3 linked regions of the Oryzias latipes genome follow. The protein of the gene in region 3 purifies or fractionates together with the protein of the main gene of each other region. This does not show direct contact. Links are inferred from orthologs where the notes say so. Each region holds a gene or a part of one and is shown on either strand. Other genes may lie near its edges. The genes, in order: iars, glutamine--fructose-6-phosphate aminotransferase [isomerizing] 1 and gars.

What was found.
Region 1: the proteins of gars (region 3) and iars fractionate together in Homo sapiens (co-fractionation; 3 studies listed by BioGRID). This does not show direct contact. The link is inferred for Oryzias latipes from reciprocal best matches to the Homo sapiens genes GARS1 and IARS1.
Region 2: the proteins of gars (region 3) and glutamine--fructose-6-phosphate aminotransferase [isomerizing] 1 fractionate together in Homo sapiens (co-fractionation; 3 studies listed by BioGRID, with this or other methods). This does not show direct contact. The link is inferred for Oryzias latipes from reciprocal best matches to the Homo sapiens genes GARS1 and GFPT1.

Annotation. Positions count from the first base shown.
Region 1 is NC_019863.2:9,833,269-9,836,921, forward strand, and holds part of iars (isoleucine--tRNA ligase, cytoplasmic), read right to left. Parts: coding exon 3,500-3,653; intron 3,350-3,499; coding exon 3,229-3,349; intron 3,045-3,228; coding exon 2,919-3,044; intron 2,779-2,918; coding exon 2,632-2,778; intron 2,130-2,631; coding exon 1,977-2,129; intron 1-1,976. UniProt on the Homo sapiens protein: Catalyzes the specific attachment of an amino acid to its cognate tRNA in a 2 step reaction: the amino acid (AA) is first activated by ATP to form AA-AMP and then transferred to the acceptor end of the tRNA.
Region 2 is NC_019867.2:17,109,446-17,113,527, forward strand, and holds the start of glutamine--fructose-6-phosphate aminotransferase [isomerizing] 1, read right to left. Parts: upstream 2,871-4,082; 5' UTR 2,773-2,870; coding exon 2,766-2,772; intron 1,198-2,765; coding exon 1,090-1,197; intron 742-1,089; coding exon 634-741; intron 522-633; coding exon 396-521; intron 302-395; coding exon 243-301; intron 161-242; coding exon 26-160; intron 1-25.
Region 3 is NC_019878.2:18,054,130-18,057,543, reverse strand, and holds the end of gars (glycine--tRNA ligase), read left to right. Parts: coding exon 1-24; intron 25-107; coding exon 108-272; intron 273-344; coding exon 345-452; intron 453-541; coding exon 542-687; intron 688-1,626; coding exon 1,627-1,712; intron 1,713-1,802; coding exon 1,803-1,912; intron 1,913-1,989; coding exon 1,990-2,083; intron 2,084-2,166; coding exon 2,167-2,357; intron 2,358-2,476; coding exon 2,477-2,602; 3' UTR 2,603-2,866; downstream 2,867-3,414. UniProt on the Homo sapiens protein: Catalyzes the ATP-dependent ligation of glycine to the 3'-end of its cognate tRNA, via the formation of an aminoacyl-adenylate intermediate (Gly-AMP).

The sequences.
Region 1 (3,653 bases), on a different chromosome or scaffold from region 3:
TTTGACACATGCATTTCAGAGACCCCGATCTCATTAGCATGATCCAAATTCATTGTACCGTATATCTTCCTATAGTAGCCCCGCCGTTTATTGCCAAAATTTGGCAGCCAGCCCGGTGTTTATTAGAGACTATTGGAAACCGGTGTTTATTCCATCACAGTCAGAACGGTGAAGGCTAATGAGTTCATTTTGTGGTGAAATTCGGCCAAGAATTTCACCACAAAAGCACCAGATGAACATTTCAGGATTTATTGAAATGATGAGAACATTGTCTTATGATCTGAATAGCTCTTGCTGTGAATGTTTCTTTTCTTTTTGAAGCATCAATCTCCGTATCAAAGATCCTCTTCGCTTTCATGCGGATCGTTTCCCTGGAGACGCGCACTTTTCCGTCTTTGCTCAGTAATCCGTGTTAAAAGCAGTTCTAATTTGTCGCTCACCCTCTTTTGCACCTCTTGTTTCTGCAGCCGTCTTCTCGATATTACCTATCTGTTTGCGCCATTCTCTGAAACGTTTAGGATCCACCCCAAAATGTCGTGAAGATTCTTCACCAGAGTGTTCTTTGGCACACGAAGTTTCTAAATGGAACGAGTATTTCTTGGCCATCACTACCTGATCGCGACACCTGCTAACAATACCACAGACATCAAGGCGTCTGCACAACTGTGCACGGGGCAGGAGGGATGGGGCTCGTAACACTTGTGCTATCCTAGACACTTTAACATTGGGAGTTGGGTCATCTAGACCCACTAGACAGTGCGCTGAACCTTTTTTCTTCAATGATTTGTGAAGGGTGGGGTCATCTAAGATAGCACAAGGGTTAAAAGAGCCCGGCCACTATTAGAGACCGGCGTCTAAAGTAACGAGCACTTGTTACACCCGGCGTTTATTGGAGATCTGTGTTAATTAGAGACAGGCCACTATTGGAAGATAAACGGTATATAACTCGGTCCGTGCTTTCTACCCTGTAGTTCACCATCATTCCACTAGGGGCAGTAGAGGGCCTTTTTCTGCTCATTTGAAAATGGCTGCTTCCATGAAATTTAAAAAACACTTTTGATGGGAAAGGTTTAGCTGATTTAAAAACATCATTTAAAAAATAAAAAGACTTCTGTCAATTTTCTGATCATCACTTCATCTTTCAATCCCTGCAGGGTTTGAAAGAAAAACTTTTGAGCAGTTATCATTGATCAAGGTTCGGCTTGTTCAAAATTGAGAAAAGGAAACAGTGTAAAGTTCAGAATCAGAAGCCTTTGTATGAGTTCTTAATGTATCTGACTAAGAGTGACTGAGTTCGACTCGTTGTTCAAATCCTTTACGTGCGTGTAGAGCTACAAGCTGTTTGACTCTCTAATAAGACCATGAAGTTCCTTACAGAAGCATTACATTCTAATGTGAAACCTGAATTTTGCTCATTAATACTAACTAAAAATGATAGAAATCTCCATCGTCATTTTAGGGTCAAAAATGAGGAGTGATTCACGAAGTACTGTCCATATTCCTACATGTTAGCCACAGCGTTAACTTTAAGGACTGAAAGGCAGAGAGGGGAGAACAAAAAAAAGAGAATTTATGCTGCATTTGTGATGTTTTGAACTGAAAATCCCAAACATTCCCAAACATCACTATCTACATGTACATTGACTTCAAATTTTTTATTAATCTTTTACCAGCAAAAATGAAAAAATAAACCTAAGTTTTCATTCAACCCCTCTACAGTCAGTTGTGTCACATGTTACCAAACAGTAATGTATTTTTACTACCATTTCTTTATTTTATGTAAATCCCTTTGAGGTGTTCTGTCACAGGAAAAGTGCTCTATAAAAACAGTTGAATATGAATTTAAATCTAAATATTCAGTTTTGTCCCTTAGTCAAAGTTTAAAAAATTGTTTAGAGTTACAAACATGCAGTTAAAGTTAAAATGATCAATAACCGGATCTCCACAGAACCCACTATGTAAAACCCTCATCATACCTTCAGTGAAGTCCTGGTCCAGGTAGAGCTTCAGCCGTCGGCTGCGGAGGCCAAAGACTTTGCCGGTCTCAGACAGCAGGCCTGGGTAGTTGAGGGCATTGTGGCCCACTGGGTTCATCAACAACAGCGTGCCCACCTCACCAGTCTGGCACTCTGGAGAAAATTCATTACACGGAAACAATGGGAAATGGTTTTTCTCACAGATTTAGCTAGGAGGTATGTGAAGAGATCCATACCATTGATGTCTCAACCATAACAATGAGGCAAGAGTCAGCAGCTTCATAGCTGAGCTTAATGTACTGCATTTGCCTTTGAAAAGAAACTTTCTAAGATGGATTTGAGTCCAAAATTGAAAAGAAACACATAATATGCTAATTAAGCTTCCCCTTGCTGTGTCGTCTCCATGGCAATGGAGGACCACTCTTCAAAGTGTGCAGATTTGTTTGTTAAAACGACCCTGCTCAAAGACTTTGAATCTGAGTCACCATGTGATTATTCCAAACGAAGAAGTGGGTTTTTTTGTTTTCTTTGTATCCTTGATTATAATAACACACTTTAAAAATAATTTCAATGGTTTAATGCTTATAATGACCAAAAAGAGCGGAAAAAGTGAAAGGACTTGTTTTGCATGATTGGTTACATATGCATTTCTCACCAGCTGGCTGTGCGTTGCACAGAACGAGGTTCACATAGGGGCACAGCGGGGTGTTGGCAGTAGGGGCGGGGCCAGGAGAGGAGGGGCCTGAAGTCACGGCTAAAGTTTTGCCACTGAGAGCCAGAAGATCCATTTTACTAGTCAGCTCTATAATGTACATGTGTAAAAAAACAAACAAAAAACACATTAGAATAGAATGCTCTGAAAAGATTCTATTTTGAAGAAAGTATTAGTGCTGGGGGAGAATTAGGGGTTCTCTCTTTTACAGGAGCTGAAATGTCTGTTACCAGTTCCGCCGCTGAAGAATCGAAGCCGACTATTGTTGGTTCCAAAGACGCTGCTGCACACTGTCTGCAGTCGATCCAAGTCTAATCTGTTATCCCCCTTTGGATTCTCCAGCAGAATTACCCCCTCTGACGTAAAAAAAAGAGGTAACAAATGAAAAAAAACAGAATGATTTCATTAAAGGAAAACTGAACACTGTCAGAACAGCTATGGTACGTTTCTCATTATTAGTTTGGCTTTGCTTTGATTTCAAATGAAATGGTTTTTTTTTGTCATTGCTTTTGTAGGACATGGACGCTGCACCTTTCCTACCTAGTTCTCTGTTGCCGACCTTCACCCGGGCGTTGACATAAGCGCATGCGGGTCCATTTAGTGAAGCTTGATGGACTGAAGATCCCTTCACGATAGTTAACTCCAAGTCTGAGCCCTTAAGCTGGAAAAAACACACACACATGCCCCAAAAAGTTATTGACAAGTTGGTAAAAGAGAGAAGGCCATTTTTATCGTTTTTCTGTCTCTCCATGTTGTGGCCTGAATCAAGCTTCAAAAAGCACAAACTTGTCTTGAAGGGATCCACTCGTACCTGCGTAGTTTCTGCTATGATGATGCTGGCACTCTTTGGAACAGGATATGGGAGTAGTGGAGCCTTTGTAGTTCCCAGAATAAAATCAGTGTGGGCTTGGATTACAGAAGCCAAGTACTCCCCCTCTGGCTGACAGTGGTAATGCACAGTTATC
Region 2 (4,082 bases), on a different chromosome or scaffold from region 3:
CTGGTGCATATTGGTGGGTCCCTACCAGTTGCTGGATAACACGTTCAACCAATGTGGCAAAACTTAGGTCATCATTCTCCCGGTTGTCATACATGTACTTTGTCAGCTTGGCAATAGACTCCGTGTCAGTCTCTGACTCAAACTCATAGCCTTTGCTCTCCTATGGAGATTAAAAAAAAAAGGTTAATTCTGAAGACATATCAGATGAAGAAATGAAAAACAACAACAACAAAAAAACTCACCAGGAATTTCTTTAGGTCTTTATAGTTGGTGATGATTCCATTGTGAATCACAATGAACTCTGCAAAGAAGAAACACATCTATCAACTTTAATATGAATGAACGGTTTAGAGAAGATTTATGCGCTTTATTTTCTAATTCTAAACAAAACCCACCGTTGTTCTTGTCAGACCTCTGTGGATGACTGTTCATTGGGCTCGGCACACCGTGCGTTGCCCAGCGAGTGTGAGCGATGCCAAGGTGAACATCAAACTCCACATCCAGGTCAATATCCTGCTCTTCTAAAACAACGAGCACAATCGTCATGTTTAACATGTGACATGGCGCCAAAGCAAATAGAGTGGAAAAAAAAGAAATCACAAAAACACTTTCTGCAGTTTGATCTCGTCTTACTGTGGATCTCCTCATCGAGAGCTTTCACTTTTCCACGTTGTTTGATCAAGTGGATGGACTTTGCGTTGGACTCCCACTCCTTATTGTTTCCTCCATCAATTCCCACACCTGACCAGTTTATGCAGAGAAAAGCAAAATGAGATGAAGCCGTAAGAACTAAACGCCAAAGCTATGGAAATGTCCTGGCATTTTGTACAGATACTCTTCTAGCTTTACTAGGAGCTTAACACATTCATTTGCCCAAACTAAAAGATGAAATTGTGTTTTTTTAATACTTAGAAGATAAATAATTTAATAAAATAGTATTGTAATTTTGTTTTTTTTCTTTAGAATTTAACAATAGCGCCAGAATGAATTGAGTTACTTTAAATAACTTTTCTGTGAGTGAGAAAAAAATAGAGATGAACTTAAACAAAAGATAAAAACAGCTGCAATTTAGTCTAGGATCTGTCTCACCAGCAGAGTCGTAGCCTCTGTATTCCAGACGTTGGAGACCTTTGATGAGGATCTCAAGGATCTCACGCCGTGTCCTTGGCACGTGGTAGTTGAGATAGGCAAAGATTCCTAAAAAGAAAGAAAGTTTTATTCTATGTTTTTATTTGAGAATAATTGTTAGGCACTGTATATTTGATTTAAATAAATATTACTCTGTTGTTCTGCAAAAAACATCCGTATATTATTCTCATCACGATCAAAGCCAAACTGAGTCATAACTGTGCTGTATTAGTACTGGCTTAAGACGGGTGTGTTATGTGTTTTTGCCAGTATTTCTGCAACAGACTGTCAAATACTGAGGAGCATTTCAGACATCAGCTCAGGGGAGAAAGAAAAAAGCATTTTGTCACTAGGAACTCTGAAACTATTCAGTCCAAAAGCCTGGCTGTTGGAAATAAAATGATAATTAAGGAAAGCCTAAATAGCAACCACAATGTTTTCGCTTTATTTACAAATGCATGCCAGCTTAGTAAGTACACTCAAATGATTTGCAACTCTGCACTTTATGGGAATAGTGTTGGTGGAGTTGTATCACATTGAAAAAAGCCTCAAACATGTAAAAAAGAAAAGCTAAACTCATGTCTGGAATCCCCCGTTACCTGATTGCTACACATGTATTAACGTGGTTAAGCTACAGTAACACACAAACACAAAGCGAGATTGAAAGTTTAAAGTTTCATAGTTGATCTGCAAACATCTGGCGCTCCAGCTGACACACACACGCGCACACACACGCACACACACACTGAAACCATAAATGACCAATAGGAAAATCACACATCCAAAATGTCAGAACAGAGCCTTCATTCAGAACAGCAAATATTAGAAGGCAGTGAGGGAAGTTGCAGCAGTGCTTTTGGAGAAACAAAGATTTACTAAAAGTAACCATTAACCAAAACAACATTATAATAGAAAAGCACACTAACTAGTTTCTCTGGTCTGGTTAGTATTCTCAGATTGTGCTGACAGGTGATGAGAGGCATACGTCAGCTATCAGGCGACTGAGAATCCTGGCATTTGATTTACCAACAAAGAAAAATCTACAAATTCATGTCTTTAATTCATTCAACACTAGCCTCTTATGTCATACTAAATATACCTTTATTACTAACTAACTCAAAGAATAGGACTAATGTCCGGAAAAACCCCGAGCCATGGTCTGGTTTCGTTTATATTAGTCTAAATACTTCTATTACGGTTTTGATATATAAATGTCTGTTTATCCTTTAGCGTTTAGATAAATAAATGAAAAACATTACGTGTTTAATGACATTAGCAAACCAGGAGGAAATGTTTCTGTGGACGTAAACGCTGTAGCTTCACACACACACAGACACAGGCAGTAATCAACAACACATTTAATCTTACAGTTAAAATTATATTTCCACGACACCTGAATCAATAAAAATATAATGATTAACGGATAAACTAAAAGCTGACTTGTAAATTTAGCTGCAGCATCATCATGTTCGCTAATCAAGGTAGCCACCCAAGCTAGCCTAATGTCAAATCCTTTGGTCTAAAACTGTTGATTGATTTTTCTTCCTAGTAACAGTGTGACTAACAGCGATAGACAAATATTTCTATCCAGATCATATAAAAACTGAATTACAAAAAAAAATCATCACACAACTCACCACACATGTCTTCAGGTTGCTTGTCAGGATCAACTACTCGGCTCTTGGGTTGCTCGGAACGCCTATCACTAAAGCCCACCCCTCTTTGATTGACAACGAATCTCCTTTCTCCAAAGTGTTTTCTTATTGGTGGAGCAGGCCGTCAGTCAAGCAACAGCATCTACGTAAACGTTAGTGACGTGGCATCAGGATGCAATGTGTGAGTGGAAAAGCTCGAAGTAAAACATCCTTTTGGTTCATCAGCTGTTTAATTCAAACGGAGCTTTAATGTCACATGAAGAATTCTGCTTCAAATACTCCATCAAAATACCAAAAACCGAATTTAACTTTGTTTTGAAAGCAATTCCTAAATGTATTATTACATTATTCAAAAGTTCATCATTGCAAAGTCCAAATTTATTGCCAATTGATCCGACTAAAATAGAAATAGGCCAAATTTGTTTTTCTTCTTCACGTAACACAAATCGCCGTATACGCTCACTCTTCCAGAAGGATGTTGTCTCCATTCCTTACGTAGTTTCTTTTTGGAATAATTTAGTTTATCATTTAGAATGGAAAAAGATTTGGAATTTACCAGCAAAATACTTTTTAACCAATAAAGTGAAAGAAATCTCATTCAAACTAATCCATAAATTCTATCCAACCAAACTATATCTACAAAGGTTCAAGGAAGATATTGATGTTACTTGCTCTTTTTGTCAAGAATACCCTGAAGATACTGTACATTTATTTTGGTCATGTCCCTTTTCCACCACTCTCTGGTCTAAAGTTTGTCATTTCATTTCTGCCCACATTGACCCTGACTTCCGCCTGTACTTAGAAAATATTATGTTTGGCATCACCCACTGTCCATCTCATAAAAAAGAACAGTTGTACCTCATTAACCTTTTGTTGTTTTTATGCAAATGGCACATTCATAAATCAAAAGTAACGAATCATACCCCTCATTTCTCAGTCTTTATTAATGAGTTCAAACAATACATTAAGACAATAAGAAACTCTGATAATAAGAACGCCATCAAAACATTAGATCTGTGTATTAGTTTCAATCTTTATGCATAAAATGTATAAACCCCCTGGCTTGTTTCTTCGTTGTTCAATGTTGAACATTATTTTGTATTGATTTTTTACATTCAATAAAGTTTGAAAAAAAAAAAAAAAAAAAAAAAAAAAAAAAAAAAAAAAAAAAAAAAAAAACCAAAAAAAAAAAAAAAAAAAAAAAAAAAAGCTCGAAGATCCTGAAGCTCCCCGTCAGCACACCCTCTATCAACATCCTTGAATTATAGCCGGCCTGCAAACATTACATGAATGTAGCAT
Region 3 (3,414 bases):
AGGCTGGGGGATGCGGTGGAGCAGGTAAGGGACATCTAGTGGATCGATGAAGTGCAGAATGTTTCTGTTGCGTTTGAATAGAAACTGGATTTTCCTGTCTGATTCAGGGAGTGATCAATAATTCAGTCTTGGGATATTTTATTGGGAGGATCTACCTCTACCTGACTAAAGTCGGCGTTGCCAAAGACAAGTTGCGTTTCAGACAGCACATGGACAATGAGATGGCTCACTACGCCTGCGACTGCTGGGACGCTGAAACCAAAACCTCATATGTAAGTCTGGTTCCTCTCTGCTTCTGGGTTTGTGTTCATAATGATCCTCAAAGGGATGTTTGTCGCCCACAGGGCTGGATTGAAATCGTGGGCTGTGCTGACCGCTCATGTTATGATTTGAAGTGTCACGCGCGAGCCACAAAGGTCCCTCTGGTTGCTGAGAAGCTTCTTAAAGAACCCATATCCTTGAGCTAAAGCAGCAAATAACAAAGCAAAACCAAAATCTGGTTTCATTTTGTGGCTTTAGTTGCTCCTTAACGCTTCTACACAAAACTGTAAATGTTGTTCAGTTTGAGCCTAACAAAGGAGCCATCGGGAAGATGTACAAGAAGGACGCCAAGCTGGTTATGGAGTATCTCGCTGTGTGTGACGAATGCTTCATCACTGAGCAGGAGCAGCTGCTGAATGAAACCGGGTAAATCTCTGTCTGTTCAGCTTTTCATAGAACTCTTTATTCTGGTAGATTATTGAAATGATTTTAATAAAATGCATTTATAGATGACTAATGTGAATCATTGTAAAATAAAGCAGTGATCCCAAACCCCTTGGGCGGTGGACCTGCACAAGTCCATTAGACAGTTGGTACCGGACTGAAGAGAGAAGAAAATACATGACCTACATTTTTTTAGCTTTATTTATAATCTGATTCTGAATGAAGTTTTATTTTGGAAAACAGATGGGTTTTCTTCACCACATCCGTCTCATTCTTAAAGCATGTAAAGTCGCTCTCGTGTCAACAATTCATCTGCTATCGACCGTTAAATTGTTCCCCCAAGCTAGCAAAGTTGACAAAAACAAACGTATATGGTGAGTCTCTTCTCGCAGACAAGAGCCAGTTAGAAAACAGAGAAAGGCAAAAACCAGGAATCTTTACTTCACATATGGATGTCTTATGACAGTTGTTCCCACACACCACAATAAACATGCATAATATTCAGCAACCAGCTGTCTAACTTTAGGAGTATTCTACTAATAAAGTTTCTTCATGTTCATTATTATATTTAGAAAATACCAGTTTTGGGAAACTTATTTTCTTTTTGTATTTGTCTGTCGCTTCTAAAAGAGGTTGGTGTCTGTTTTTTGTTTTTTTTTTGTTTCCACACAGTTATAGGTTAATGGAAAATCTATATCACATTTTAATTGGTTTCTATACAAAATCTAGTTTACAAATACCGGTAGATGCAGATATTTTACAACAAAATGAAGACAAACTTTAATCTCAAAAGTTGAGGGGAAACTGGGAGCTTAAGAAAAAAGAGACTCTAACTTCAGCCTCGTACAGAGCGGTCCGTAAAAAAATCTTGGTGTATTTTAGCTGTTATTTGTTCCTAAATTTAAACCATTTTTGACGCAGAGAGTTCAACATTGAGACGGAAGGAAAGACGTTCAAACTCACAAAGGACATGGTGAGCGTGAGGCGGCAGCAGAAGACTCTGCATGGTGAGGAAGACTCCACAGAAAGCGTAGAGTCCACAATGCTTCTGCCACTTTTTTTTTTAACCGCCGTGCTGCATTTCTGTTTTTGTGCAGTGGAGGAAGTTGTTCCCAACGTCATCGAGCCGTCCTTCGGCATCGGCAGGATCATGTACACCATCTTTGAGCATACATTCCACATCAGAGAAGGAGATGAGCAGAGAACGGTAAGTTTAGACGTTGTGACTAAATGTAACATCAAAGGTTGATTGCTATTGTCGGGTTTCCATTTTCTCTGTTGCAGTACTTTAGCTTTCCTGCTACTGTAGCTCCGTACAAATGTTCGGTTCTACCTCTCAGCCCAAATCCGGAATTTATGCCCTTTGTGAGGGAATTATGTAAGTTTCCACAACTAAAGTCCCCTTTTTTTTATCTTTAGTGCTTTTGCAGTGATCCTGTTTTATTTTTTTTAAATCTATAGCCGAGGCAATGACCAAAAATGGGGTGTCCCATAAGGTGGATGACTCATCTGGCTCCATTGGAAGGCGCTACGCCAGGACAGATGAGATTGGCGTGGCTTTTGGTATCACCATCGACTTTGACACCGTGAACAAGACCCCCCACACGGCCACTCTGAGGGACCGGGATTCGATGAGGCAAATACGAGCTGAGGTACCGTTAAGATTTAGCTTCATGAAACACACAAGACTGCATTGATACTAATTATCTTAAGCCTTTTTGTTGTTCAATTGAACCCCCCACCTTATCAACACTTCCATCTTCTTCCTCAGGTCAGCGAGCTTCCTGTAATAGTTCGAGATTTGGCCAGCGGCACGATGACCTGGGCAGAAGTGGAGAGCAAGTTTCCCATCTTTGAGGGGCAAGAGACCAGCAAGAAGGAGGCATCTGAAGAGTAGAGTTCACTTTGTGCGAACATCCACAGACTCGATGCCTCATGTCAACACAGAGCACTGCAGCCGTGTTGTGATCAGCTGTGTTTTACGTCACAACGTCGCATATTCATCTAATCTGAGAAACGAGGCGAAGCTTAGACTTCTGTCGTCGGCACTGCATCCACTCTGTTGTAAAAGGGACAAAATCAAATCAGGTTGATGAGAACTTCCACTTGTTCCAGTTTTAAAGTGAAATGAAGCTTCAATAAAAGCAGTTGGTGCTTAGTGGACGTGTCTCTGGTTTGTGTTTGGACCCTTCTGACTGAAACCGTTAAATACTCTCTGTGACGATCACAAACACGGAAACTGCATTCAAACTGTGGGATTCAAATAAAAGTATTTCTAAAGTTTTAACACTTAATGTTGATCTAATGAAACCATTGGCTCCGTTTTCCACACCATTTAAATGACAAGACCAAAAATTTTCCAACTAAGAGGTCTTCAGGATACCTTTGAAGGATCAGTCAATAGTAAATACCTGATTAAACGGACTTATATTGTAGGGGTGGCGATGAAACGAAGGTGTTTCAGTTCAAGTTTGCTGCCATGCAGCTGTATCGTCTCAAGTTCTGTGAAAGGAAGAAATGATATAAAACATTTTTTAAACTCAATTTGACTTCAGATTTTTCTCTGTAAATATGTTTTAAAAAACAATGAGACAACAAATATTCCCCAAAAGTAATGGAATTTTTTTTTTTTTATTTAGGCTAAAAATCACATTCAATGACAGAAGAAAAAATACTGAAAGCACAAAGAAAAGGGAAATACAAAACAGT